Pelodiscus sinensis: one gene and its partners. The protein of the gene in region 1 interacts with the protein of each later gene in a pairwise test. Links are inferred from orthologs where the notes say so. Each region holds a gene or a part of one and is shown in the gene's direction. Other genes may lie near its edges. The genes, in order: TRIM39, UBE2K, EIF4A2 and UBE2E3.

Evidence for each region.
Region 2: the proteins of TRIM39 (region 1) and UBE2K interact in binary tests that used the Homo sapiens proteins (3 or more experiments, as listed by UniProt). The link is inferred for Pelodiscus sinensis from reciprocal best matches to the Homo sapiens genes TRIM39 and UBE2K.
Region 3: the proteins of TRIM39 (region 1) and EIF4A2 interact in binary tests that used the Homo sapiens proteins (3 or more experiments, as listed by UniProt). The two-hybrid records come from large-scale screens. The link is inferred for Pelodiscus sinensis from reciprocal best matches to the Homo sapiens genes TRIM39 and EIF4A2.
Region 4: the proteins of TRIM39 (region 1) and UBE2E3 interact in binary tests that used the Homo sapiens proteins (3 or more experiments, as listed by UniProt). The link is inferred for Pelodiscus sinensis from reciprocal best matches to the Homo sapiens genes TRIM39 and UBE2E3.

The regions. Positions count from the first base shown.
Region 1 is NC_134742.1:11,322,843-11,330,445, forward strand, and holds the start of TRIM39 (E3 ubiquitin-protein ligase TRIM39), read left to right. Parts: upstream 1-4,588; 5' UTR 4,589-4,609; coding exon 4,610-4,763; intron 4,764-7,603.
Region 2 is NC_134715.1:92,844,505-92,851,624, reverse strand, and holds the start of UBE2K (ubiquitin-conjugating enzyme E2 K), read left to right. Parts: upstream 1-4,106; 5' UTR 4,107-4,654; coding exon 4,655-4,826; intron 4,827-4,989; exon of another isoform or gene 4,990-5,004; coding exon of another isoform or gene 5,005-5,037; intron 5,038-7,120. UniProt on the Homo sapiens protein: Accepts ubiquitin from the E1 complex and catalyzes its covalent attachment to other proteins. In vitro, in the presence or in the absence of BRCA1-BARD1 E3 ubiquitin-protein ligase complex, catalyzes the synthesis of 'Lys-48'-linked polyubiquitin chains.
Region 3 is NC_134720.1:47,414,974-47,422,387, reverse strand, and holds the start of EIF4A2 (eukaryotic initiation factor 4A-II), read left to right. Parts: upstream 1-4,399; 5' UTR 4,400-4,512; coding exon 4,513-4,541; intron 4,542-5,849; coding exon 5,850-5,895; intron 5,896-5,982; coding exon 5,983-6,115; intron 6,116-6,372; coding exon 6,373-6,512; intron 6,513-7,414. UniProt on the Homo sapiens protein: ATP-dependent RNA helicase which is a subunit of the eIF4F complex involved in cap recognition and is required for mRNA binding to ribosome.
Region 4 is NC_134717.1:48,105,654-48,113,239, forward strand, and holds the start of UBE2E3 (ubiquitin-conjugating enzyme E2 E3), read left to right. Parts: upstream 1-4,572; 5' UTR 4,573-4,767; coding exon 4,768-4,914; intron 4,915-5,040; exon of another isoform or gene 5,041-5,351; coding exon of another isoform or gene 5,352-5,411; intron 5,412-5,436; exon of another isoform or gene 5,437-5,581; intron 5,582-6,007; coding exon 6,008-6,210; intron 6,211-7,586. UniProt on the Homo sapiens protein: Accepts ubiquitin from the E1 complex and catalyzes its covalent attachment to other proteins. In vitro catalyzes 'Lys-11'- and 'Lys-48'-, as well as 'Lys-63'-linked polyubiquitination.

The DNA.
Region 1 (7,603 bases):
CCAAAACAACAAATCTACATGCCTCTGCCGCCAGAGGCATGTAGTTTAGACATACCCTAAGAGTAGCTCTTGAGCCCTCTCTGAACTGCGCGCCTGCGCAGTACATTTACCTTAGATTTCCTCATTTGAGGAGCAGCTACTCACTGAGCAACAGCACAGATGAGTAGCTGCGAGAAATGGTGGGGATTTAATTTTTGAAAGTAGCAGTATAAGGATTGGGGGTAGCAAGTGATGGAGAGGAGGAGAATAGAGAGGACGGGGCTTCAAGGAAGGGGCGGGGCGGTAGATCTTGGCTTGGTCTATCATTTAAAAAGTGATCTTGGGTGTAAAAAGGTTGGAGACCACTGTTATAGACTAACTGAAGTGTAGGAGCATAAGCTTTCGTGGGCAAAGACCCACTTCGTCAGATGCATGCATCTGACGAAGTGGGTCTTTGCCCACGAAAGCGTATGCTCCTACACTTCAGTTAGTCTAGAAGGTGCCACAGGACTCCTCGCCGCTTTTGCAGATTCAGACTAACACGGCGACCCCTCTGATACTGAACCTGGGGTATGTGTACCCCTAGGGGCCACGAGAAGCTTGTCAAGGGGGTACAGGGAATATTTGGTAAATAATTAGATCATCCTAACTGAAATATTCCCAAAGTAGTAGTGTGAGTGAAAAAAGTTGTGGATTCTAGAGTCTAGAATTTATTTCCTTTCATATTGAATAGGGGGTACGGGAAGGTTTACTAAAAGCCAAGGGGGGACGGGGACCGAAAAAGGTTGGGAACCCCTGCTCTACTTGGTACGCCCCCCCATGGAGGGGGGGATATGCATTTGGTACCTTCCACAATGGGGTGGGTATGAATGTGGTTCCTTTTGTAATATAATAGGTGGTCTGGGCTTTGCTGAAAGGGGCAGATCGGGGCACATTGCTTAGAACCAGGGCTACTTATAGCCCAAGACTGGGGCCCTCCTCTATAAGGCACCAATCCGCCCTTCAGCTACCACTCTGGCCAGCTAGGAGTTGCAGAAGCAAATCTCTCTGTTCTTCCCCTTTTTTTGATCTGGAGTTCAAGGCCGACCGCGCTCTCCTTCTCTGCTTGTGTAACCTCGGGGAGGGGGGGGGGCGCTAGACGTCACTGCCCATCTCCAGTGTCTAGAAAACCCCCCAGCTCCCATAGAAAGTAGCTGGAGACCCAGAATTCAGCCTATCAGGAATTTCAGCAAGGATGGTCCCGTGTCACGCCTCCCCACATTCTAGTCCCAAAAGAAACGAAAGAAATGAGTTTCATGAAACAACGTCATAAAAGCTCACGCTGAAGGGACAAATAAGAATCGAAGTTTTACAACAGAACCCACAGACCTCGGCTTCACGGTTACAACCACCATCAAGAGAAAACCAAAAGTAAAAGGTCCTGATCCAAAGCTCAGTAGACCTGGTTCTGCGGATCCAAGCATGACTACACCACTGTAATATAAACAGGTGGTCTGGGGGCACCATTGAGAGGGTCAAATCAGGGTGAGTTGTTTCGAACCAGGGCCATTACAGCCCAAGATTGGGGTCCTCTTCTATAAGGCACCAAACCGGTAGCTGGCATTCTGGCCAGCAAGAAGTTCCACAAGCAAACCCCTTCGACACTCCAGCTTTACCTGGGGAGGGGGAGCAGTTGCTCCTGGGCGCCACATTAAGGGGGCACTACTTTATTCCCCCTCTACTCCCCCTGTCATCCCTCAGCTCGCCTGCTCCTCCTCCACCCACTTCTCCTAGGGCCGGGCTCAGCCGTGCGCCAGGTTCGGGGCCCCGCCACCCAGCGACGATGGGAAGCAGAGAGGGTGCAAATTTTGCTTTTGCCCCTGGGCACATACTACCCTCGCTACACCTCTGCTGGTCCCACAGTCCCAGGACAATTTATACCTCAGACTTTACCCAAAAGAGCGTGCTGGGCCAATCCTTTAAAACCTAAAATCGAAAGGTTTATTAATAAAAGGAAAAGGTTGGAAGCAGAATTGTTAAAGCCCATTTCATACATTAAGTAGCAAATGCTTGCTGCAGGGTCTTAGCAGAGATGTTAACAAACTGCCAGATAAACGTCGCTGGAGTACAGCCTATGTTAGAATACATCAACGCTTCTTCCTGGCTCTCTGTCCATAGCAAAAACGCTTCTGTAGTCAAGAGCAGGAGTGAAGACAAAGATGGAGGCACCCCCTGGGTACTTTTATAATCTTGTCCATGCGGAGGGAAATCCATCGTTCTCCTGAGTACCTCTGAAAATGGAGCTGATCACATGATTACCGTGTCCTTTTTAGGCAAGGAGCCATGGAGTATCCAGGTATGTCCTCCTTAAGCGAGGGGCCATTGTGTGTTCCTTGGGTGTCAAATGGCCACCCTTAAGAGCCGTTGTCCATGCAACATTCACTGGGTCACCACCCCTCACAACAGGGGTACGTCTACACTACATGGCTCCGTCAACGGAGCCATGTAGGTTTGTTTATTGGGCAAAGGGAAATGAAGCCGTGATTTAAATAATCGTGGCTTCATTTAAATTTACATGGCCGCCGCGCTGAGCCGACAAACAGCTGATCAGCTGTTTGTCGGCTCAGCGCGCTAGTCTGGATGCTCCCCTGCCGACATCAAAGCCCTTTGTCGGCAGCCCCGGTAAACCTCATCCCACGAGGAATAACGGGGCTGCCGACGAAGGGCTTTGATGTCGGCAGGGGAGCGTCCAGACTAGCGCGCTGAGTGGACAAACAGCTGATCAGCTGTTTGTCGGCTCAGCGGGGCAGCCATGTAAATTTAAATGAAGCCGCGATTATTTAAATCGCCGCTTCATTTCCCTTTGCCTACAACCCTCATCTACATGGCTCTGTCGATGGAGCCATGTAGTCTAGACACAGCCTAAGTGGGCAGTGCCGCCTTTTGTCTCCCAGACAGAAAACATGCACAATATAAGCAGGGTGACCATCCCATGTGTACCCTGTCAGTCCCTTATTCAAGACCTCCTCCTCCCGGCCTCCCAACTTTTTTAAAAAAACGGGCACATTGTCCCGTGTTTCCCCTGTGGGGGAGGCGGGGAGCCCGCTAGCACTCAGGGCTTCAGCCACTGGAGCCCCAAGCACTGGCACCTCCCCTCCCCACTCTGGGGGTGAACTTCATCCCTGCAGTGGGGCAGGATGGGTGGGGAGCTGCCTGCATTGCGTCAAGTGCCAGCGGCTGCCCCCCTGCCCTCTGCAGGGCTGAAGCCTGGAGGACTAGCAGCTCCCCCCCCCCCCCCCGCCAGCAGGCCTAAAGCCTCAAGAGCCAGCAAGGCCCCCGCCGTGGTGTCCCGTATTGCGCATAGGGAAATATGGCCACCCTGAATACAAGCACCGAGCCCATATGCATAACCTCGCGCACCGAGATGGCACGCGAGCAGCACAGACAAAGTCAGCTGAGCACCAGCTTTCATTAGACACCCCACGCGGCCCACCCGGCACAGAGCGAGGGGCAAACACGCCAGTGGGCGCAGCAATGAACTGCACGTGCCTTTTAAAATCCAACCACATGACACCTTCCAAGGGGGCGGGGCATGATATTGGTACATTCCACAAGAGGGGTTATGAATTTGGTACATTCCACAAAGGGGGGGTATGAAACTGGCATGGTTCACAAAGGGGATTGGTGAATTTGATACATGCCACAAAGGGGGAGGAGGTATGAATTTGGTACAGTCCACAAAAGGGGGGGGGGTATGAAATTGGCACGGTCCACAAAGGGGATTGGTGAATTTGGTACACTCCACAAAAGGGGGGGTATGAAATTGGCACGGTCCACAAAGGGGGTTGGTGAATTTGGTACAGTCCACAAAAGGGGGGGATGAAATTGGCACGGTCCAGAAAAGAGGTTGGTGAATTTGGTACATGCCACAAAGGGGAGGGGGGGGTATGAATTTGGTACATGCCACAAAGGGGGGGGGTATGAATTTGGTACATGCCACAAAGGGGGGGAGGTGTGAATTTGGTACATTCCACAAAGGGGGGGAGGTGTGAATTTGGTACATGCCACAAAGGGGGGGAGGTGTGAATTTGGTACATGCAACAAAGGGGGGAGGTGTGAATTTGGTACATTCCACAAAGGGGGGGAGGTGTGAATTTGGTACATGCCACAAAGGGGGGGAGGTATGAATTTGGTACATTCCACAAAGGGGGGGAGGTGTGAATTTGGTACATGCCACAAAGGGGGGGAGGTGTGAATTTGGTACATGCCACAAAGGGGGGGAGGTGTGAATTTGGTACATTCCACAAAGGGGGGGAGGTGTGAATTTGGTACATTCCACAAAGGGGGGGGGGGTATGAATTTGGCATATGTAGATTGCCACGAAGGGGGTCGGAGTCGCGTGTCTTTCACAAACTAGAGCTTGGTACAGCCCAATGCAATCGGGCGATTTGGTACAATCCACAGACGGGGCGTTGGAGGTGAATTTGCTGCGCTCCACACTGGGACGCGCTTGGTACATTCCACAAACGGCGGTTGGGGGGGAGGGGGAGTCCTCATTTCCGGTCGGGGCAGACCCGTCTCCTGCTTCTCAACGTCAACTTCCGGAGGCGGGTGCCCAACGTCACTTCCGGTGAGGTCAGCACCCTGCGACATGCCAACGGCCGGAAGCCCGGTGCTTCTCCTCCCCCGTTTCCGGCTCGTTTCCGGGGGGCGGCCCCGAGTGTCTAGTGTCGTCACTTCCGCCCTGGGCCCGGACCGGGGCAGCCCTGGGCTCCTTTCTCCCCGCCGGGAGGAGGCGGGCGGAGGTGAGTCCGGGGCGGGGAATTTCTGTGTGACCCACCGTAATTATCCCCGCCCCTCCCCCCACGCCGGGGAGAGAGACACCCCCTGTCAAGGGAGAGACCCCCCGCCCCTCCCCCCACCGGCCCCCTCCCCGTGTCCCAGGAGACCCCCCCCCAGCAGAGACTCTCCTGCCCCCCCCCAGCAGAGACTCTCCTGCCCCCCCCCCCAGTGGGCATCACGGATTTGTTGCTGCCAAAGCAAAGTCCCCCCCCCCCCTTGCCCCCCCTTTCACACAGCCCGGCTGTGAGGATTCACCCCCCCCCCCCCGCATCTCCCTCCCCCCCCATAGCAGGCTCGAGCTGTAACACCCCCCTAGGGCCCGCGGCGCTCCGCCTGTGCGGAGGGTGTTGCGCCTCTCGGGCGTCACATGTGCCCGGCGTACCCCCAGGCGTCACCTCACTGACACATGCCTGATGCAGGGACTCGGACATAAAAAGACAGACACGTCACAGCCCCTTGGACCGCAACACGGCGGCCGGCTTTGTGTTTGCTGTCGAATAAGCTGCAACGGAGACCCGTGCTGATGAGTCTCATCCCTGTCCTACAATTGTAATGTCAACCAAAGGGCACCTAAATACTAGCTTTCTGTTTCAGTGATAGCCTATAGAGCTGTGTGAACAAGTCGTGTGACAGCTTAGGTTGTGCTGACTTCACTAGTGCTTTTTATGGAGCCGGTAGTAAAAATCAGACAAATGTCTAGATGACTTGTACTTCCTGGAAGATCTTTGCATAGTCCTAAGGGTAGTGTATTCATGAATGAGAATGACTGGTCTAGGTGGCCTTGTTTCTTCTGATTTCACTTAGCTTGCGTGCCTCTCCCAGATTCTGCTTATAGCTGCCCTTCAATCACTTGAATGGAAATCAAATTCTTAAAAATCTGTTTTGGTAACACCCATTTAATTCAAATGCCCAATTAACAGGTAGGAGAGAAGTTCTGTGTTACAGGTTGGTCACTCAGTGTAAATCAGCCTTAATAGACATTCGGGGGGGAAATTGGGGTAAAAAAGATCAGGATTTCTAAATAAAGTTACTGTCTTTTGCCCTGCTTAACTCTCTTTTGGGGCTGCCTTCATCATAAAGAAGCTGTTTTAAGTAGTGATATAAAAGGTTAACCAGTTACCCGGTAAGCATTTCTTACCAGAATGCTTACCAGGTAGCAATTGGACAGCCAACCGTGCCAGGCTGTAGCAGCCCTGGCTGAGGCCGACCGACCATGTGGGGGTGGTAGGCAGGGCCACGCCTGCATCAGGCCAGTAGGACTCTAGCTGCATGGGCGTGATAAACAGGGCCCCAGCGGCTCCAATTCGACCCAGGTAATCTGACAGGATAGGCAGGTGGGACTCTGTGGCTGTCCTGGGCTGGCAGATGGTGCCCGCTCTGGGGCAGACCAGGTAGACCGGCAGGACTCTACCTCAGTGGTGGGGTGGTCAGGCAGGGTCCCCGCCACTCTCACTTGGCCTGGGCGCATGCATGGGAACCCATTTCCAGCTTCCTGACAGTGGTTAACCATTAACCGTTATAATTTTAGTTGTTTAAATTGTTATTTACAACCCTCGTTTTAACAATGGACAGAAACCTGGTTCATTTTGTCCTTCCCTGGTAGCTTCAGAATCTTTATATAACGAATTACCTCAAGAGAGGAAGCATAGTCCAATGGGTAGAGCACTGGACTGAGAATCCGAACTCAGGTAGCCTGCTCCTAGCTTTGCTGTTGACTTTGGACAAGTCACGTTCCCTGGCTGTACCTCCGTTTCGCCTCCTGTCCTGTCTAGTTAAACTGTAAGCTCTTCCAGTCAAGAACTGACTCTTACAATCTATTTGGAGGGAGTGGGGGGCTGATCTCTTGGTGTTACAAGATGAATAAATAAATGCCCTCAGTGGCATTAATGTAAGCAGGAAATTGTGAGCAGCCTCAGGCAGGGGCCTCTTGTGTGGTTTTTCTCTGTACAGTGCTTAAGGCCTTTATTTTTAATAGGCCACCTGACAGGGAAATAATAAGCCTACCAGGATTTAGACAAAGGGACCTCAAAAAGTCATCCAGTCTGGCCCCCTGTGCTGAGGCAGGACCGAGTAAACCAAGACCATCCCTGCACAGGGTTTGTCCTGGCAGGTCATGAAAGCCTCCAACCACTGAGACTCCACAATCTTTGCTAGAAGCCATTCCAGAACTGAATTGCCCTCCTCCTTAGGTTTTCCTAATATCTAATCCAAATCTCCCTTGAAGCAGAACCCAGTTAACTCTTGTCCTTTCTTCAGAGGACAGAGAGAGCAGCTGATCACGTTTATCTTTATAGCAACCCTCAACATCTTTGAAAACTATCCGCACAGCTCCCTTCTATTTTCTCTCCTCAAGGCTGAACAGACGGAGTATTTTTTTAACCTTTCCTCTCAGGTCAGGTTGTCAGAACCCTTCATCCTTTTAATTGTCCTCTTCTGAACCCTCTTTCAACTAGTGCATGTCCTTCCCAAAATGTGATGCCCAGAATTATTCCCAGTCCTCCACCTCAGGAGAGCGGGACAGTCACCTACCACGTCTTACATATGACACTCATGTTAACACAAGTTGAACCTCTCTAAACTGGGGCTCTCTAGACCACAGATGTTCCGGGATGAGAAGGTTAGTGGCTAGGAGCCCTACAAGCCAGCAGGACAATGGGTTGCTGACAGCAAAGTTGCCCGGCATGGGGCCGTGGGAGCAGTGGGGAAGAGGGGGTCATTTCTGGTCCTTCTGCCTTTCCTTGATCTAGTAAAATCTCTCAACGGGGACCAATCAGGTCCTGAGGGTGCCGGACCGGGGAGGTCA
Region 2 (7,120 bases), on another chromosome or scaffold:
AGACCCCGGGCTCCATGTGGCGCTGCCCCAGGTGTCCCCAGGCCGTACGTAGCATTTCAAAGTGGCAGTGCTGTGTGGAGCCTGGGATCAGCTGGGGAGTTCCCAGCTGACTCCGGGCTCAGTGCGACACTGCCGCATTGAAATGCCGCGGGGAGCCTGATGTCAGGCTCCTTGCAGCATTTCATTTCAAAGCGGCAGCACCACATTGAGCCCAGGATCAACTGTGGACTCCCCTGCTGACCTTGGGCTCTGTGTGGCACTGCCACTTTGAAATGCCACATGGTGTTTCAAAGCAGCAGCGCTGCATGGAGGCTGGGGTCAGTGGGGGAGTCCCCCCCTTCTGACCGTAGGCTCCACGCAATGCTTTCACCTTTGAAGTGTAGCAACAGCCCTATGGCTGTTGCTACACTTCAAAGACGGAGGCATCCTATATCAACTAATCAAATAGTCAATGCAAAATGCCTGATAATTAACATCCTTATCATAAACTGTCTGAGTCAGTTCTAAAGAAACCATTCTCTGTGGCACCATTGAGACTATAGGTAATTATTCTCTAATTGTCAGGATACAACATTCACATTGTGCATCATCCAGGAATTGACATATCTGTCCTTGGCTTCTTATACTACCAGAAGAGCTGTGAATTTATTCATTTCTTGGGAGACTTTAATGCCCATGTGAACAACACTTCTAAGAGTGTGATTACACCTTAGCTGGGTTATCCTCCAAATGTATCAATTTATGTTGATATTATCACAACGGTGTGGCCTACTTTTCTTTCATCAATATGGCCACTGCCTCAGCTCTTGCTCCAGCCCCTTTGCTGGCACATTATCTGGCTACACCATAGTTCACCTTTTCTGAGGTCTAGTTCCAAAGTACTATTGTCCACTGGGCAGGTATGTTGAGCCTTCACTTGATCTTTCCAGAGTCTTGTCGTAGAACGAGTAAACAAAATAAAGGTTTCTTTGGGGATACCAGCTCCCTTCAAAAATATGGGCTAAGAGCTCCCAAAGTCCCTCTTTCTTAGGGTTATTTAGGCAAAACAGGCACGTTTTCAGGACATGGTTGTTTTTGCAAAGGGAACTACAGCTGTGGTCACCAACCAGTTGATCACGACCAGTCGATCGCAAGGTGTTCTGGACCCTCCATTTTCCCCCACCCCCAAGAAGCCCCACTACCTACCTCGAGCAACAATGGAGGTAGTGGCAGCTTCCCACGGGGAGGACAGAAGTCCTAAAGCTGCGCATCACTTCCGAGCGTTCCAGAAATGCGCTAGCTGCTTCCTTGCCCCAGCTCCCTGGTGCTCCAGAAACTTACTGGGTAAGTCCCCAGAGGTGTGTGCTGGGACTTCCCTTCTCTGCGGGAGGGGGAGTCAGGCCCGGAGGAGGCGCGTAACGGAGGCTTCCCTTCTCCGTGTGTGTGGGGGTGTGTGTGTCGGCCCTGAGGGGTCGCATACGTGGGTTTCCCTGCTCTGCGGGGGGGGGGGTGTCCGGCGGAGGCACTCGATGGGGCATCCTTCCTCCGCCGGGGGGGGGGGGGGAGAGTGTCGGCCCTAGAGGGAGCACGCAACGGAGGCTTCCCTCTGAGGCTGGTGTAGGGGACTCCCTGTCCCCACTGGCACCCTGCCCCTGAACCCAGTTCCCTCTCCCCTGCCCCCGAACCTTGTCTCCTGCCACAGAACCTTGTCCCTGCCCTACCGCCCCCGTTCCTTCTCCCCTGCCTCCAGCCACAGAACTCTGTCCCTCCTGCCCCCCTGCTGCAGAAACCTGTCCTGCCTCTGCAGAAACCTGCCCCCCTGCAGAAATCAGTCCCCACTGGCACCTTGCCCCCTACTGCAGAAACCTGTCCCCCATTGCAGAAACCTTCCCCCGCTGGCACTCTGCTCCCTGCTGCAGAAACCCTCTGCCCTGAGCCCCTCACATACCCCAACCCAAATTCCTGCACCCTCACATCCACAAGCCAGTGGCTTGCTTAGTACCCCAACTCTGCCCAGCCTAGACCCCCCACCCCAAGCCAGTGTCCCCTTCTCCACCTCCTCCTGCATCCAGATTTCCTCCCAGAGCTTGCACCTCTCACCCCTTCCCGCACCCAAATCCCTCATTTCCACCCCAAAGCCTATACATCCTGTCTCAACCCGGTGGGGGTACAGCTGGACTGCAGGAGTTTTTCAGGATTCTGGAGATATCCCAGAAACACTCTTCTGCATCCAGGGATGCGTTTGTTAAGAACGTAAGAACAGCCGTACTGGGTCAGACCAAAGGTCCATCTAGCCCAGTATCCTATCTGCCGACTGTGGCCAGCACCAGGTGTCCCAGAGAGAGTGGACCGAAGACAAATCAAGCAATTTGTCTCCTGCCATCCCTCTCCAGCCTCTTACAAACAGAGGCCAAGGACACCATTTTATCCCCTGGCTAATAGCCTTTTATGGACCTAACCTCCATGAATTATCTAACTTCTCTTTAAACTCTATTATAGTCCTAGCCTTCACAGCCTCCTCTGGCAAGGAGTTCCACAGGTTGACTACACACTGTGTGAAGAAGAACTTTCTTTTATTATTTTAAACCTGCTCCCCATTAATTTCATTTGGTGTCCTCTAGTTCTTCTATTTAGGGAACTAATAAATAACTTTTCTTTATCGGCCCTCTCCACACCACTCATGATTTTATATACCTCTATCATATCCCCCCTCGGTCTCCTCTTTTCTAAACTGAAAAGTCCCAGTCTCTTTAACCTCTCCTCATATGGGACCCGTTCCAAACCCCTAATCATTTTAGTTGCCCTTTTCTGAACCCTTTCCAAGGCCAAAATATCTTTTTTGAGGTGAGGAGATCACATCTGTACACAGTATTCAAGATGTGGGCGTACCATAGTTTTATACAGGGGCAGTAAGATATTCTGGGTCTTATTTTCTAACCCTTTCCTAATAATTCCTAGAATCCTATTTGCCTTTCTGACTGCCGCTGCACACTGTGTAGAAATTTTCAGAGAACTGTCCACGATAACTCCAATATCTCTTTCCTGATTTGTCGTAGCCAAATTAGCCCCCATCATACTGTACATATAGTTGGGGTTATTTTTCCCGATGTGCATTACTTTACACTTATCCACATTAAATTTCATTTGCCGTTTTGTTGCCCAATCACTCAGTTTGGTGAGATCTTCTTGGAGTCCCTCACAGTCTGCTTCTGTCTTGACTATCCTAAACAGTTTGGTATGATCTGTAAACTTTACCACCTCACTGCTTTTACCCCTTTCTCCAGATCATTTATGAATTAGTTGAAAAGGATTGGTCCCAGGACTGATCGTTGGGGACACCACTAGTTACCCCTCTCCATCCTGAAAATTTATCATTTATTCCTACCCTTTGTTTCCTGTCTTTTAACCAGTTCTCAATCCAAGAAAGGACCTTCCCTCTTATCCCATGGCCATGTAATTTACACAAGAGCCTTTGGTGAGGGACCTTGTCAAAGGCTTTCTGAAAATCTAAGTATATATCTACTGGATCCCCCTTGTCCGCATGTTTGTTAACCCCTTCAAAGAACTCTAATAGATTAGTAAAACAGGATTTCCCTTTACAGAAAATATGTTGACTTTTGTCCAACAAATTATGTTCTTCTACATGCTTCACAAATTTATTCTTTACTATTGTTTCGACTAATTTCTTCTGCTTTTTTAGTGGAAGAGCACACATGATCTTTTGGTCACCCCTATATTCCTCTTTCCATGAGGAATAAAGGGCCTTTCAAAAGAAAGGGTTTTTCTGACATTTGGTCCAGTCTAGACAGGGCAAATGTTGGAAAACCCTCTTCCTACAGAAGAATTAAAACAAAACAAACAAACTAGCAGTATAAAGATTGGGGATAGCAAGGGATGGAGAGGAGGAGAATAGAGAGGGCGGGGCTTTAAGGAAGGGGCGGGGCGGTAGCTCTTGGCTTGGTGTGTAAAAAGGCTGGAGACTACTGAACTACAGGCTTCCCCCGCTCCCTGGAAAGGCCCACACATCAGTCCTACTCCTTCCAGCGAGCGGCCACCAGGGGTCAGGCATGTCCGCGAGCTCTGGTTGGAAGGAGCCCGTTAGCAGCCCGGCTCCCTGGCGCTCGCGCGCGCTGTTCGGAGGCTGAGGCGCTGAATGGCCCTTCCGCTTTCCTCGCTGCTGCAGCCTCTCGAGTTCTGCCGCCCCAACTCCAGCCGCCAGGGGAGAGCCCAGAGCCCGCCCGGCCCCGCTCCGCCGGGCTCTGAGGGAGGCGCGTTTCACCCGGCGCTTGTTAACCCGTCGCTTGCTGAGGCGAGCGCTGAGCGACACGTGCGTGTAACAACACGCCGACCGTGCGGATGACACAGCTGCTTCATCACAACCCAGCGGCCCTAGCTCTGCCCGGCTGGCGGGTGAGGGGTGTCACCGCAGGGACCTCGCGCTGTGCGTGTGCAGGAAAGCGGCTCCTCCCGTGACAGGCCGGGTGGCGGGTGTCGCTTACGGAGCGGCGGCGCAGCAGGGCGTTACCCGTCCCGCCGAGCCAGTGGGACAGTCCCGCGCAGCCCCTTCCCCCCAGCGCGGACCCGCCAGCTCAGGGGCCGCTCTGCTCCCTGCATCGGCTGCCCACACACACACCGTGCTGGCCCCGCCTGAGAGGCGCCGGGGGCCGCACCGCGCATGCTCGACGCGGGCGCCATTTTGGTGGGGCCGGGAATTATCCAGCGGGAGCGGCGGAGCTCGCTGGGCCCGGCTCGGAGGCAGCGGCGTGTGGCTGCCGGCTGCAGAGATGGCCAACATCGCGGTGCAGAGGATCAAGCGGGAGTTCAAGGAGGTGCTGAAGAGCGAGGAGGTCAGAGACTCCCCCCGGCCCTGGCGGTGTGCGGGGCGCCCGACAGTCCCTCCTTCTCCTCCCGCGGCTGGGGGAGGGTCTGTCCCAGCCTCTCGGCTGAGGGGGAGGGTAACGGCGGCTCCTGAGGATGAGGGACCCAGCAGCGGGGACGGGGAGCCTGGGCCCGCTCCGGCAGCGGATGATTCTCGGCGCGGGGGCAGGCCTGCAAGGGGTAGGAAGTGTGGCCGGGCAGCGAGCGAGATGCCTGGACAAGGCCGGGAAACCCCCGGGAAAAGCGCCGCCTCCACCACCCAGTCTGGTTTGGTCGGCCCAAAAAGAAGGCTCAGGGGAGCCTAATAACGGGGCGGGCCGCGCGCGTGTGTGGGGAGGTGTCGTCTCCGGGGTCCCCTGCCCACGGATACAGCGGGAGATTCCTCTATTTTACGGCTGGGGCACTGGGGAGAGGCTTTCCCATGCGACCTAAATGGAGATGGGGCAAAGACAGGATGGGTAAGAACACACGTCCCATTTCATCCAGCTCCCTCGTTAGCCTGTGGCTTATACTGCAGAGTGATACATTGTGTGTGTGGTTTTTTTTTAAATAAAAGCCCATTTAACTAGATTTCCTTAATCCAAGGCTTCCTTTTACCCCCAACATAGGTTATGTCACCTTGGTGTGCATATCTTTAACCCTCTCTCCACCTGACATCCCGGTGCCCTATTAATCATTCTTGATACATTCCCTGTAAGGGATGTACAGTAATTAAGGAAAGGAGGAAGTGATAAAGAACTTTAAGTGTATTTCCAGGGACTATAGAATAGCATTTACAGTGATTGTGTCAGAGTTATTTTCGCTGTCTGTAAATCTGTGTTGGTAAATGTCAGCGAGATAGGTTTTGATGTTTGTGTCATCACCATCATACTCATGAGGATGATGAGGCATGTTGTATGCTTGTGAAATATTAATGTGCAGTTTGACTCTGAAAACCGATGATTTTAGACACTGTACCAGTCAGCTAGATTCATAGTCAGAAAACCAAGATGCTACTAACTTCCTGAGGATTTGTGTTGCTTACAGAAAACATGTTTAGAATTGGTCTAGTTGATGTCCTTCTGAATATAATGTGCTAACGGCATTATTGTTACACAGCTCAAAATAAACTATTCTCCACAAAATCTTAGAGCTTAATTTCTACAGCTATTATGCATGTGATGCTCAAGTTGATTTCAATGTGAGTTCCAGTGTGTAATGATTACAGAACCCAAATACTAAATTAGAACAGATCCTGAATGGTCAGCTGTGTATTTATATGCTAAAATTAGAATATCCCAAAGTGTTTACTTTCTCTGAACAATACATCTTAAAGTTGACTGCTTAGACCTTTATATAAGAGAGCACTCCAAATTTCCCCCTTGTGTTATTTAGAAAGAGAAACCTTGCCATATGCATCAGTGATATAAACATGGTTAGATCTTTTAATTTTCTTAAGACAAGTTTGGGACTCAGGGAGCAATTTTGTTTTAAATTCCTGTTTAATATATGTGCCGGAGATTTTGATTACATTGAAGATAAAAAAGAAATTACTTTGTTTGGGTGAACTGAATTTGTGAATTTTGAGACAACCCTTACTCTTGGCAGGATTCCTGCATCTTGTAAATTAAATATTAAAGAGCATTATCCCCCCATCCCCTCCCAGGATTCAGCTATTTCTATCAGTACATATATAATTACTGTTTATATTACAGGCTTTCATGGGTATTCGGAATACATACTTCTTTGATGTAATTGTGGATGTTTATTACAATGACACACTGATTCTAGATACATGTATTGGGAATACCTTGACTTGATTTTTTTCAAAGTCCGATTAAACTTTTTTCCAGCGGTAGTGTGAAAACATTCAGTATGAGATGTACAGAGGTATGACTAGATATTTTTGTACTTTGGCAATCTGAATTCACAACTTTATCAAGAAAAATTGATTGTCACAAATTATATAGCTAAAATGTGTTTTAATTTAAAATTTGTCTTGCATCAAGGAAAAGTTGCTGATCTTATCTACTCTTAAACATTCTTGGAGTGATGTCTCAAGCCATAGCTGAACATAAAAGCTGGCAATCTGTTTCCCTGCAAATGCCACCAAATGGCATTTGCTACCATATTGCATTTTGGAGAGAGAACGTACAGAGTTTGCCATTTACATTCTTCCAAAAGTGCATTCTGGACTTAGCTAAGTGGGAACCAGCCAAATGCAGTTTTAGAAGAGGATGGAAGAGGGGCAGATCAACAACTTCTGCAATTCAGAGATTTTTAC
Region 3 (7,414 bases), on another chromosome or scaffold:
TACATATCTTTCTGACAAAGAGGGTTTCTTTGAGAAGGGAACAGAGAGTTTGTTTGTTTTATAAATCTAGCCTTGTAGTCCCATCATAAAAAGCTCAGGATACATCTGTGGACAGCAATGACCATCCAAGCTGATGTAGTGAGAAAGACTGTTTTCATTCTCTGGAAGTTCTCACCGACTCATTCATTTTAGGATTTTACTGCAAACAGGTAGGCATCTGAAAAATTAAGGACTACATCATCTGTAGGTAATGTATGCATAGGTGACTCATGACAGCACTTAGAGGTGCACTGATCTCCTATGCCCCCATCAAAATTCTAATGGCTAACTTGGGTGACCCTTCATGCCCCCTCCCTGTTCCTCTGCATGGCCCTCCCTGCAGCCCCTCCCTTCCAGGCACCTGTTGCCTATGTATACATGCCAAGAACAACCATAGCAAATATCTTATGCTTGTGGCTGCTTGCAGTCTACAGGGACCTTATAACCTATGTGGCAATGCTCTGGCCCCCATGGATCCCCATGGATCCTGCATGTCTAGGCAGTTATTGTATGCCTCAGAGGCTCGCTGTGGTCCTCCACACTGCCTTTTATCTTTGCTTGAGGCCAGAGTCACAGCTTACTGAACCATTCTCATCATTGGCAGTCAAAGAAATGGGAGGAATCCCTCTTCTAATCCTGGCCTCCTTTACCCAGGAACAGACTTTTTTTAGTAGTTTGCGGAGGTTTGGGGGAACCCGGGCCTGCCTGCCCACTACTCCAGGCTCCAGCCCAGGGATCCTACATAGCAGCCATTGTCAGGCTATGTCTACACTCGCGGCTTCTTGCAAGAAATATGCAAATTAAGCTAAGCGTGGAATATCACCGAGCCTCATTTGCATACCTAATGAGCCACCATTTTTGCATAAGAGGCTTTTGCTCCAGAAGGAATTGTCTACACTGCTCCTTCTTGTGCAAGAAAAACCCTCTTGCGCAATGCAGTTATTCCTGAAAATAATCGGCGTAATGGCATTGTGCAAGAGGATTTTTCTTGTGCAAGAAGGGGCAGTGTAGACAGCTCCTTCTGGCGCAATAGCCTCTAAAAATGGTGGCTCATTAAATATGCAAATGAGGCTCCACAATATTCTACACTTAGCCTCATTTGCATATTTCTCACATAAGAAGCCACGAGTGTAGACATAGCCTCAGGGTTTTTCCCCCTACCACCAATATAGCAGCCTTTTCCCTGGGCTATTTCCCCAAACGCTCCACTGATACCTGAGCAAATCTTTCCTGCTTCAACCCAAATATTCTCACTGTTTTGTACTCTCTAGCCACCCCCTTCCTCCTCTCAGTCCTCCACTCTTCTCCTTCCCCCTCCCTTACCTGCGGAAGAATCCTTTTAAAATAGCCCAGCAGGCCTTAATTTGCTGCAGGTGCCCACTTAGTTTGCTACTTCAGGCAATCTCTTAAATAGACTCAAGTGCCTGCCTGCAGTCTCTGGCAGTTTATTTAGACAACAGAAAACCATTCACCCAGCTACCCTCCACCAAACTACTGTAGCCAACTTCCCTGGGTATATTACACCTATGAATGTACCAAAAGGTAGTTGAGTCCAATGGTGCTCCGTTCAAATGAGAAATAAATCACCAAATCATATAATAAATCAAAATAGTCATGCAAATAGCTAGTGTATGGGTCTGCGCATGTTGGAGCCATGCTGCCAAATCCTGCTCTCCCTGAAATCAATAGGAAAAAAAACACTCTGACATCAGTTGGAAGTGGATTGGGTCAAGTGCTCTCATAGGAGCAAAACTAGAACATAACTATCCATATTCAAAATTAATAACTTTGCTTATTTACACCTATTTTTCAAAATATAGCCAGTGCATGAGCTTTCAAAGAAGTTTAGTTATCAGGAAAGTTTAAGGCACACGAGGTAAAGGCAGACACAAAGGTTCTGATTATTGCCTGGAATCATTTTTTTTTAATTACAAATTAAATTATGCATAAAATGATGACTTAGTTCCTTGCACCTCCTGCCTTCCACAGAAATCTTCCCATTTACCTATGGATTTTTAGTCCTCATTATCTCTTTCTATATAAAATGTTTTTCATGCCAGGTGACAGAATGACATTATTTCACTCTCAGGCCATGAAAGCAGTCAGAAAGAGGAGGGGTTGGCAAGCGTAGTGAGCATGGGGCACAGCCTGCTAGTAACATTAAAATATACAGTTTTGTGGTTTCCTTACAACATAAAGGTACACTCTGTATATTTGGATTTATCTAACTAAACAGAAAGAAATGGCGTGTTCACTATCTTTTAGCTTTATCTAAGAGTCCATTAGCTCTAACTAGAAATCTAATTGTGCCAGTGTGACCTTTTGCCGTTCAACCCAGACCAGTAAGAGGTTGCCACCACTTGTCCTGTAACCCCAAGTGCTGTGACTCACAGCCTGAACACCCACAGTCAGCAGGTAAGCATGCAGTTTCCTGAGTATCTGTGTGCTAGAACTCCAGCAGCCAGCCTACACTACCACAACCCTACACTGGTCTCAATCTGCGTTGTTTACTACTTTCAGGTTAACCCCAACACACACCAAGTTCTGAAATTTCCCCAAACTGTCCCAAAAGTATCCAGCCCTCTCCTGGAATACTCAGAAGCAATAAGATTTGTTTTCCTTTAAAGAAACAAAAGCACAACTCATTATTTTACCTAGAACTAATAACCACTTCAGTTCAAATTAAGGTTGTCAGCTTTTCCAGTAGGACAGACCAGATGCCATTGCCATGAATGGCATCTAATCTGTCTGGTCAGGAATGTTGGCAACCCTAATTCTGGGCTGAGTTAGATTATGTAACAAAATGTAATAAAAAAGTGATAGGTCTTATGTGAGTTCAATTACAAGAGATAAAGAAACGATTACAAGAAAATAAAAGCAAAATAAGCTTTCTAGAGATGAAAACTTAAACTACAATCTTTGTTCAAGGTAGATTTCTTACCCATGTTTCTTCTTTCCAGACATAGTTGATTTTCTCTTTGTCAGGGCCTTTTACGGAACTACAGGACTTTGCTTTTCTTCCTATGCGAAAGATAACTTGGGATTCTTTGCCCCTCTCTTTTACAGTCCAGTGAACTTTAGAAATGTATCTTTCTCAAAGAAAAGTGCAATTAATCTAATGGAGAGGTTCCATGCTGGATTCTTTCCCACTGGTGCTTTCTATAATACAAATTGATGGGTTCCTCCAACCTCTGTTATGTCAATGTCTGCCAAATGTCTGCAACTGAACTTGGATGGAGCCATCAGCTTTTCCTTTGCTTGGAAAAAACATGTTTGCCAACTTTCCCAGACTTTTCTGGTCCAAACACATTTTAGTCCCATATTTCTTTCATATTTGTGTAGTCATTTAGGTCTCACACACATAAGCGATGCAGGAATCAGTCTGTCAGGGGGTTTTCTAATATTACCTTACACAACAGATGCAGATTATAACATATATTACATTAATTGGGATATACTGAACTGGTCAGGCCAGCTGAAACTCACTACCCCATTTCCCCTGCAATTTGTTCTCTGAGATGCTTCCACACGGGGTTCTACAGCTTCTCCTTCCCCTTGTCTTGCTCCAGTATTGCCAAAGCCATGCATTCAAAACTATCAATCAACCCACCCCAAAGACACCACAAGATTGATTTAAAAATATCAAAAGATTTTTTTTTCTTTCAATTCTTTTTGGGGTTCTTTGGCTGCTGGTCTCATTTTGAAGACTTTCAGAGGATGGTTTTCCAGCCTTTCCCCACAAGGGGTAGACTTTGGTGGGTGGGAGGAGGGAGATAAATGAATGCCTAGAGTCTCCCATAATCCCATGACTCCTGGAGCTCGGGCTTGGCACCAGCATTATAAGACTGGTGATAAAATCCTGTCATGTGGGCTTTCCCCACTGCTGATGCTCAGGCTTTGACCCATTAATCCTTCTCAGCAAGTGCCACTTTCCCCCTCTCCTCCTGGGACCCACATACCCTCCACCCCCAGCTCCCTTCCTCTTTCTTTGCCCCTTTCTCTAGGACTCAGCTACCCCGCTCCTCTTTCCCCCCTCCCCCACTCTCGCTCTCCTCCCCCTCCCGCTCTGAGGCTGTCTGCAGCACGGGCGGCCAAAGAAACCCCGTGCTCAAGCGGTGGGGGCACGAGCAGGATGAGGAAGGAGTGAGACACTGTCACAGCGCCAACTGCTGCAATATCCTTCCGCCTTCGCGTCACACAAAAGAGTCCCCATCTCCGCCCGATCTTTTGGCCGTTGCAGCCTCACGAACCCCACGAGAAATATCATACTCCGTGGTCGTGGGGCTATCCGTGACACAGGTAAACTCTAAACGGGGCATGTATATGGCTCGGGCTGTGTGACGATAGACATATGCCTCCGCTGTGAAGGGCGGAACGAGTTCCGGCAGCTGGATGGCTATATAAAGCCGGCGCCGGGAAGGCGCTGCCTTTTCAGTTGAGGGCAGAACAGACGTGGGGGCTGGAGACCGGAACATGTCAGGTGGTACTACGGATTATAGCAGGTATTCCTGGGTTTGGGGGGCGAGTTCGTGTCTTGTTTTCGTTCTGAGGTGATTTTAAAAGGAAGGCGGGGGAGGAGGAAGCGTGTGCGATGTCGGCTCGCTGCCGTTGGTGGGAAGTGCCAGCCCCGGTGGGTCCCTCTCGCGCTCGTCTGATCGGCCAGTTCTTCCCGCAGCTTGTCCGTTGCGGGGACCCGCCTCTCCACAACCCCCACTCCTGTGGCCCGACCTCATTCGACTTCGAAGGAAGCCGGCCATGGCGTTTCGGCTTGCAACCCCTTCTCCCGCCCCTTTTGGTTCATTCCGGCGCTTCCTGAACCCGGCTTCGGGCGAGTTCATTTTCACGCAGAGGGGGAGGGGCGCGGCCCTCCGGGCGCGTTCCTCCGCCTGCGTAGTGAGTCGGATTTGCGCAATCCCCGGGGGTGGGTGGAGCTCTCGCGAGAGTTGGCCGGTGGTGGCTGAGCAAGGCGGGGTGCCGCGGGAAACTCTTTGCTCTGGGTTCTACAGACGAGCTGGCCCAGGCGCGGGCCGCTCTTGCCTCCACCCTCGCCAGGCGGGTGCTGCAGCGCTCAGAGCAGATCCCGCCATTAGGGTGAGAGTGCTGGGGGGGGGGGGGGGCGCACCCTCTGCCACGTGCCGCTTCCGCGGCGAGGGAGGTGCTGCACGTTGGGGCCTGCTAGCTCTGCGTGCCGTACTGCCCTTTGGGGTGTGCCGCGCCTAGAAATATATAGGTGATCTTACACCAGCGATGGGCAGCCTAAGCCTATGATTGGCCCTCCATCTCCGTGGGGGCTGCAAGATTATTGGAACCAAGACAGTTTCCTGGGATAGGATAGTTTTGCTAATTTCGTATGTGTCTGTAATTTGCAGGGTGTATCCCTCAAACCATAGCAGTGCCTCAGATGAATGCAGAGGGAGTGTATGGCGGTCTCAGTCAATGTGTGCAATCAGCATGAATCTCGCTTTAGTAATACCAGTAGGAAAAAACCTGCACAGGGCAGCCCCTGGCTGCGGGCGACAGTGGAGACTTGGGGTAATGGCATACATATGAATGAGGTGCAAAGGAGATGTAGTTTCCAGGCTGGCAAAATGCTAAAGCATTTGCTAGCATAATCAATCAATCACTGGTTTAAGTTCTAATGGAGTGAGAAATGCTAGTGGTATCCGAGCAAAATGCAGGACAATGTAGCACTTTAAAGACTAACAAGATGGTTTATTAGATGATTAGTGGTATCCAAGATATAGAGATCCTGTCCTACATGGCATTTGTTAGCTGCAAAGAGTGTTAACAGCCTGCTTTTTTGGCAACAGAGACCATGGCGGCCCAGAGGGAATGGACCCTGATGGTGTCATTGAGGTGAGCAGCAGCATAATAGCCTTTAGACCCAAATTCAGTATGGGCATAGGTAATAGAGTAATAATCTGCCTCTTTTCCTTCTTACAGAGCAATTGGAATGAAATTGTTGACAATTTTGATGATATGAATTTAAAAGAATCCCTTCTCAGGGGTATTTATGCTTATGGTTTTGAAAAGCCTTCAGCTATTCAGCAGAGAGCTATTATTCCATGTATTAAAGGTAGGCAAGCACAAAAAAATTTTATGTCTGGTCATCAATAGCAGATATACATGTTAGAAAATAGGTCTTTTTTAAATGTATGTACTTTATGCACTTGTATTTAAGTGTGGTGATGGCATACTACTTTTAATTCTTGCTTGAAAAAGGGAGATGAATGGAGAGGTCTTAATTGCTGATCACTTACTTCAAAAGGAATAGAATTAAACTAAATATGAATTACTTGTGGGAGGAGTAAATATATATCCTACTTTTTTTAGGGTATGATGTGATTGCTCAAGCTCAGTCAGGTACTGGCAAGACAGCCACATTTGCTATTTCCATCCTGCAGCAATTGGAGATTGATCTCAAGGAGACCCAAGCACTAGTATTGGCCCCTACCAGAGAACTGGCTCAACAGGTATTGATAGTGTAGTTAAAAAAAGCTGCTTGCGCGTTGCATAGGTTTCGGGTTTCACAACTGTGAAGGACAGTTAACAGATCTTTTTAAAGGAATCTGTAACTGTAATATCCATTCAGAATCCTTGTTGCTTTGAGTGTAATGGGGAAACAGACTAGCTTCTGTTTTAGGTTTTCCCTATCCACGTAAAGAGGGAGTTAAGATGTGACTTCGGGAGATGATGCTGGGACATGGTGCAGGTAACAGCTGATATGCTGTGTAGTTCTGAATGGGCATCTCCCAGCAAATGGTGAAATCTTAAAAATGATATGATAAAGTGGTAAATTTTTTAATATTTGTATTTTTTTATTGTTTTTGTAAGCCGCCTTGAATATTTTAAATGGAAAGGCGGGGTAAAAATATTTAAATAAGCAATATGTTCTGAGTGGAAACAATGCATTTGAGTGTGCAGTTGTGCAACATGAAAACTGCAGTGCACATATGATCATTGTCTTGTGGTGTCTGTCCCATGCTTCCTCGCATGTTTACTTCACCCTCAAAAGATTCAAGTAATTTATTCATCTTAAAGTGGAGCTGTTTCGTGGTTCTCCAGATTAAAATTACAGGATTCAATGTTAAATGGTTCTAAGAATCCATTGATTCATGGTTTAGTGATACAAGTGAAAGTATAAATAGCAATCTTAAAACCAAATTGCAGACCATTTTATACAGCACAAAAAATTTGCTTAGCACTCAAGTGAGGATATCTTTGGCTTCCTCAGATCAAAGATCAGAGTTTTGCTATGCTTGGATAGTTGTCCAAAGATGATTCTAAACCCCAAATTGATCAAAGTCTAAAAGATATTGAGGAAAAATTATGGTGCTAGATTAGTCAGTTTAGTGGATATCTCTCATTAGATTGT
Region 4 (7,586 bases), on another chromosome or scaffold:
AGTTAATTCGAACTAGTGCATCTAGACCTAAAAACTAGTTTGAATTAGGATTTTGCTAATTCGAACTAGCATGTCCAGATTGACTGGACCCTGAACCGAAGTTAAGGCTGGCCGGAAGCAGTGCCGGCAGGGCATCAGGTTAGGACTTAGAGCATGGAGTTGCTGTCTCAGGCTATCCAAGGGCTGTGCTTAAAGGGACCCGACCCCCACCCCGGACAGACAGTTCTCATGGTTCCCTGCTTGCTTGTCTACCTCGATGAGGGACAGCAAAGCAGTCCTGGCTTGGAATGCCCTGAGTGCCCACACTCGGCACATCACAGCACTCGGCCATCAGCCCGGCTGCACTTGCCGCAGGCTGCCATCTGGAGGTGCCAATCGGGGGGCTGCAGAAGTGTTTCCACCCCGAGGAGCCCGCAGAGCCACCCCAGTTCTCCCCATCGGGGGCTCGTACCCCATTCCTCCTTCCACTTACCCGTCCCTAGCCCCCCTTCTTGATGTACAAAATAAAGGACACATGTGGTCAAAAATAGAAACTCTCTTTATTTAACAAAACTGGGGGAAACTGGGAAAAGGAGGTGGGAGAGGGGAAGAGAGAGGGTGGGAGAGGGGAGGGGGAAACCTGGGACGAGGGAGCTGGAAGGGGGAAGCCAAGGGAAGAAGGAGGAGGGGAAGTATCAAACTATGGTACGCCATATCTTCAGTACTGTGTACAGATGTGATCTCCTCACCCCAGAAAAGATGTTTTGGCCTTGGAAAGGGTTCCGAAAAGGGCAACTAAAATGATCAGGGGTTTGGAACAGGTCCCATATGAAGAGAGGCTAAAGAGACTGGGACTTTTCAGCTTAGAAAAGAGGAGACTGAGGGGGGATAGGATAGAGGTCTATAAAATCATGAGTGGTGTGGAGAGGGTGCATAAAGAAATGTTCTTCATTAGTTCCCATAATAGAAGGACTAGAGGACACCAAATGAAATGAATGGGTAGCAGGCTTCAAACTAATAACAGAAAGTTCTTCTTCTCAAAGAAAATAGTCAACCTGTGGAACTCCTTGCTGCAGGAGGCTGTGAAGGCTAGAACTAGAACAGAGTTTAAAGAGAAGTTAGATAAATTCATGGAGGTTGGGTCCATGGAGTGCTATTAGCCAGGGGGGTAGAAATGGTGTCCCTGGCCTCTGTTTGTGGAAGGCTGGAGATGGATGGCACAAGACAAATGGCTTGGTCATTGTCTTCGGTCCATCCCCTCCAGGGTAGCTGGTGTTGGTCGCTGTCAGCAGACAGGCTACTGGACTAGATGGACCTTTGGTCTGACCCAGTACATCCATTCCTATGTTCTTATGTTCTAAGCTCAGGGCTCAGGGTTGGGGGTCTCACTGGACCATGATTTTCATGCAAACCTGCTCCTGGGTGGCCAGGCTGGCAGCTATCCTGCCCTACACAACCACTTTCCTGTGCCTAATGCGGAGGTCGTGGACGTTGGACGCCTCCCCCCAAACCTGGATGAGGTCCACGATCTCTGCACTAGACCAGGCGGGCGCCCGCCTCTTGGTCTGGGCTGCTGGCTGGGTGCTGGCAGGCTTGCAACTGGCACGAGCACCGTAGCCAGACCGTGCCCTTTTAAGGGCTCCTGGGCCGGGTGGGTGGCAGACAAGTTTCCCTGGTTGTGCCCAGAGTGGCCACCAGGGCAAGCTCGGAAGGGCTAGCCTCCCACTAGTTCAAATTAAGTGGCTACACAGCCCTTAATTTGAACTAAATTCGAACTAGGTGTTAGTCCTCGTAGAATGAGGTTTACCTAGTTCGAATTAAGCACTCCGCTAGTTCGAATTAAGTACAAACTAGCGATTTGCCTGTGTAGCGCTTATGAAAGTTAATTTGAACTTACGGCTGTTAGTTTGAATTAACGTTGTAGTGTAGACATACCCTAGGAGACTACGGGTCTGTCTCCCAGAGCCTCTTGGAGTTTAGTATCCTGTTCCAGTATAGGCTGTAGCTCATTGATAATGTGTTGGGGGCTGTAGGTGATGACAAGTGGTGTTCTATTGTTGGTTTTCTTGGGTCTGTCTTGAAGTAGATGGTTTCTAGGTATTCGTCTCGCTCTTTCAATTTGCTTTTTTATTTTTCCAGGTGGGTAGTTGAGGTTTATAAATGCTTGGTAGAGATCCTGAAGTTTCTGGTCTCTGTCAGTGGGATTAGAGCAGATGCGGTTGTATCGAAGGGCTTGGCTATAGACAATGGATCGTATGGTGTGTTCTGGATGGGAGCTGGAGACATGTAAGTAACTGTATGAGTCGGTGGGTTTTCTGTAGAAAGTGGTGTCTAATTTTCCATTGGTGATTTGTACTGTGGTGTCCAGGAAATGGATCTCTTCTGTAAAATGGTCCAGGCTGAGATTGATGGTGCAGTGTAGGTTGTTAAAATCTCTGTGGAATGTCTCCAGTGTTTCTTGGCCATGCGTCCAGATCATAAAGATGTCATCGATGTAGCGTAAGTAGAGAAGGGGTTAAAGGGGATGGGAGTTGAGGAAATGTTGTTCTGAGTCAGCCACAAAGTTATTAGCGTACTGTGGGGCCATGCGTGTACCCATGGCTGTGCTGCTGATCTGGAGGTATAAGTTGTTCCCAAATGGAAGTAATTGTGGGTGAGAACAGAGTTACATAGGTCTGCTGTCAGATTGGCAGTGGTGTCCTCTGGGATAGTATTTCTAATTGCTTGTAATCTGTCTTCATGTGGGATGTTGGTGTATAGAACTTCTACGTCCATGGTGGCAAGGATGGTGTTATTGGGGAGGTTATCAATGTTTTGTATTTTCCTTAGGAAGTCAGTAGTATCTCGGAGATAGCTGGGGGTGTTGGTTGCGTGGGGTTTGAGAAGAGAGTCTACATAGCTGGATAAACTAGTAGTGAGTGTGCCGATACCTGAGATGATGGGATGTCCGGAGTATCCAGGTTTTATGGATTTTGGGAAGCAAATAGAACAATCCTGGTCGGGGGTCAGAAGGTGTTTCTGTGTGGATTTGTTCCTGAGTAGCTGTAGGGAGGCTTTTAAGGAGACAGTGTAGTTTCTTTTGGTATTCCGAGGTGGGATCAGAGGAGAGAGGTTTGTAAAATGTGGTGTTGGAGAGTTGTCTGGTTGCCTCCTGGTTTAAAGTTTAAACAAAGACATTAATTATCTTACCCATTACAAAGATAGCTTCCCCAATTATCACCTCTAATATCATTAGCTCACAGACATTCACCTTCCCCCTCCTCCCCATCCCTGTTCTGTTCTGAAATTTGATTTGTCCTTTTCATATGTCTTTATTTTTTTAAATTGTATCCTTTGGTATATATGATTGTGACAATTTTCTTCCACTATTTGATCTGAGGAAGTGGGTCTAGCCCACGAAAGCTCATCACCTAATAAACCATCTTGTTAGTCTTTAAAGTGCTACATAGTCCCGTTTTTTGTTTCAGCTACACCAGACTAACGGCTACATTTCTATCTCTCTAAAAATGTTTTTCCTGACGGGTGACAGAATGATGTTATCACACTCTCACGTTCTTGGGCCATGGAAGCGGACTGAGAGGGGCTTGGTAAGTGAAGCAAACACAAGGAGCAGCCCCCTAGTTATTATTTATTTATTATTATTATTATTACTAGTGATAGTAAGATAGTAGCAGCACTTCTTGTCTATTTTGATGGCACAGATTCTGGGTATGTGGCCATTATTTGTCAGAATTGAGACTGATCTACATGCCAGATCAGTTTCTATCGGACATCAAGATCTGGAATTTTAAGAGTGGCTAAACATCTTTTCTATTTATGCATTTTTAATTTCAGGCCTGGGGGTCCAAAAATTGGCTAGGTTCAGAAGGATCTGGATATTTGAGGTGATCTTGTGCTGGGGCACATGAATGAGGGCCCAGATTTTGCTTGTGCAGCAAGAAAGGTTGAACATGTTACCCACTGAGGAGTGGGATTTGGTGCTGGGACAAAAACTGGCAGGATTCAACTTTCACTCATAATCGCTATGCTGTATGTTAAGGCACTCACAACCCAACTCAGCCACGACCAGTGCCCAGATTAAGTATATTTACTCCTGAGTGACCACCCTTATGGACAGCAGTAAGAAGAGACAGAAAGAATGGGCAAAAGCAGAGCTACTTTCAAATCAGTTTCCTTGCTTTGGCTATGCCCCAGCAGGCTTTTGCACACTTGTGCATGGCACTGAAGTAATTTCAGGATCTCAGGCTCCCCCTCCCGTAGTGACTGCTCCAGAGTTGCAAGCTTGCGAGAAAGGTATTTGTATGGGAGGAGGGGGGAGGCAGGAGAGAAACCAGCCACTAGTAAGACACAAGCAAAGGCCAAGCGACCAACCTGGGGGGTGCACAGGGACCAACTCTTTGTCCTTGGCCAGCACGGGAGAACGCACGCACCCTGCAAAGGTAGAAGAGCGAGAGAGCGTGCGCGTGCCCCAGCCGGGGGGGCGGGGGGGTGTTACCAGTCAGGGAGCGAGCGCCCTCTCCCCCCGCCCTCATGTCGTTTGGAACTTTGCTGACTGCAACATTCTGAATCCGAACGTAGCGACACAAGGGGGCGGAGGCGATAGAACGCTCGGCTCTTCTCTTCCATCCGGCGCCCTTCCCCCGAGGGGAAGATCGCGTTCTCTCTCCTCTTACCCCCTGCCCCACCGTGGGAGCCCGCTTTGCAAAAAGGGGACACGCCAGCACCACCCTAAGGCCATCAAGCCGCACTGCATCCTCCCCCCGTCTCTCCCCCCTGCTCCGACTCTCAATGTTCCACACTGCCCGGCCACAGAGCCTCCTCTGCTGCTTTATATCCCCCCGGCTTCCTCCAGCCCCTCCACAGATACCATATCCCCTTCCCTTCCCCCCTCCATCCCTCCCCTCCGACCTAACACCGGGACAGGACGCCTGCAAGGTAAAGGAGAAGCGGGTTAGGTGGCTGCAGCAGGAGCCTGGGCGAGCTTGGTGGGGGGAGGAGGAGAAGGAGGAGGCGGGGGGGGGGGGAGGTTGGTAGAGGGAGCTTTGTTCTTGTTTTCAGCGCTTGCTGCCTGTCGGTGGCCGGGAGAGAGAGGAGCCGGGACTGAGTTCACGCCTCACTTGGTGCACACATACCATGCTGATCCTGGAGAGCCTCCTACCATAACAACCCCTCCATACCCTCCTCGCTGGGAGCTCGATCTCGCCCCACAAAGCCAGCCCGAGCAGGGGGGAGGGGGGGCGGGGGCGAGTGTGTGTGCAAAGCTGCATTTCAACCCTACTGCAGTTTCCTACTAGGAGCTTCATTTTCTTTTTCAGCACCCCTCCTCCAATTTGGGTGCCTCCCGCGTGTGTCTATATATTTTTCCCCTAAAAATGTCGGTGTGTTTTGTAGAAACTGATCAAGAATCGGTGGCGTTGAAAGCTTTGCAGAAGGTGCAGTTTTAATTATGCTTCTTCCCCCTCCAGCAGCTTTGTGGTAGCAAAATGCAATTCTTGCTGCTGGTCATGTAAATAACCGAGGCTTCTGCTTTCTGGGTTGTTTTAAATGTATAGTGTTTTTTAAACACCTCCTCCTCACGGCCCTTTAAATACAAAGCGACAGAGTGAGTGTAAATTTCAATCTGAAATCAGTTGGAGTGTTGTTACTGTCAATATATTGTCTCAGAGAGGGGGGTAATTTGGCTGCTCGGACCTAATAAAATGCTCTGCTCCAGTGTAAATATTTGCAGGGTATTAGTGACTTTTTAAACAACATTTTTAGCAAGGTCTGTTATTTACAATGTGTCATAAGTTATTAATGTTCATTGCTTGCAGGACCCTTCTAAAACCCCTGTCCCATGGCTTTGAACAAAGTAAACAATTGATATATTGTCTAAAGTATGAAAAAATGTAGCTGGGCTTTAAAAAACTGGAGCTTTCTATATTTAAAAAGTGTAAATATTACTTTGTAACTGTCAAACTGCAACCTAAAGTGAACTCTGCTTTTCTATTCTTCCCACCCCCTTTTCCTTTGTCCCTCTTTCCCAAAGTTCACCACGATGTCCAGTGATAGGCAAAGGTCAGATGATGAAAGTCCAAGTACCAGCAGTGGTAGTTCAGATGCAGATCAAAGGGACCCACCAGCACCAGAACCTGAAGAACAAGAAGAAAGGAAACCTTCTGCAACCCAGCAGAAGAAAAATACCAAACTATCCAGCAAAACTACTGCTAAGTTATCTACTAGTGCTAAAAGGTAATAACTATAAGAGTGACTGAGAGACATATTTGCACTATATTTTTAATGCAGATGAAAGCTGTGTTAGGGAGTCATTTACTGAATTACAAACTTTTTTGAGTTATGAGATTTTCATTCAATAGCTTCAATAATGATACTGTCAGTAAGCTAACCTTTAAATAAGCTTCTCACATTTCTTTGGGAGAGATGCTTAAGAACATTATAACTTGTAAAATGAAAATACTGGCTTCTAAAAGCTTTTATTCACCAATATGAATTTTATCCTTGCAAGTAATATAAGAATTAGAAACATCGTTTCCACCTGCGTTCAAAAGATTAGCCTTTTCTTTCTTGGTAGAGTACCATCCTTAGGGTATATTTCGATAGATTGTGTGTACTGTTCACACAATCAGTTTTATTGAATATAAAAATATTTATAAAAATGTTATTGGCACAGAAATAGATGGGTTTGTACTTATAACTTTGTTTGCATGCCAACATACAGTACATCCTTTATGCATCCTAATATAACATGTTATTCTGCAAAAATAACCAACTTCAGTGGGACATTTGCTTCACTAGGGCCTGGAAAATCACTCTGGAGATGAATATATCCCCTCTATATTTAAGTGTCAAAAGCTTCACAAACCTCTTGTAGTCTATTTGATAAAATGTCTGTATTTACAATGTATGTTAGACTGGCTTTCAGTAGGTATACACGGAAGCGTTTTTTTAACTTCAGCCATGTGAAACAGGCAGACTTTTAATCCTTTCATATGCAAGGGTCTTCTGAGATGAAACAATTTGCTAAACCTTACATTCATTTTTTTTTTAGGAATACATATTACATTATAGCCAATAGCAAATAGATCTGAAAAGTAACAGTGGAAAAACATATTTTAACTTTAGAGTCAGTTCTCTACTGCACAACTATGTGTTTTGCTTATTCAGCATGGCTCAAACTTTTATAAAGACCTGAGAGAGGAGTTGGTATTCCAGTTCCCTGAATGTTAAAGCATTAGCCATACAGTAAATACTACCTATTTTCCACTGATTTTGTACTTGTAAAGAAATAGAGCTCCAAAATAATAGTATCTAAGTTAGATACTTTAAATTAGTCCTGCTCTATCAGTGAAATGGGTCAACCTAGCTCCATTGCTCAGGTGCCAGACTGTGAAAATTTCTGCACCATGTGACTTTGTTAGGTCAGCAGGAGAACTTCTCCATCTCCTTAGCTACCTCTTCTTGAGGAGATCGATTTACTGCACTGACAGATACCCTTATTTTGTCACTGTGGTAAGAGTGTATACTTGCCACGCTGCAATGGTACCATTTGTAGTGTGGGCATCCCTCAGAAAAGAAGCTAAAGTGTTATATTATTTTTATAACTTGCA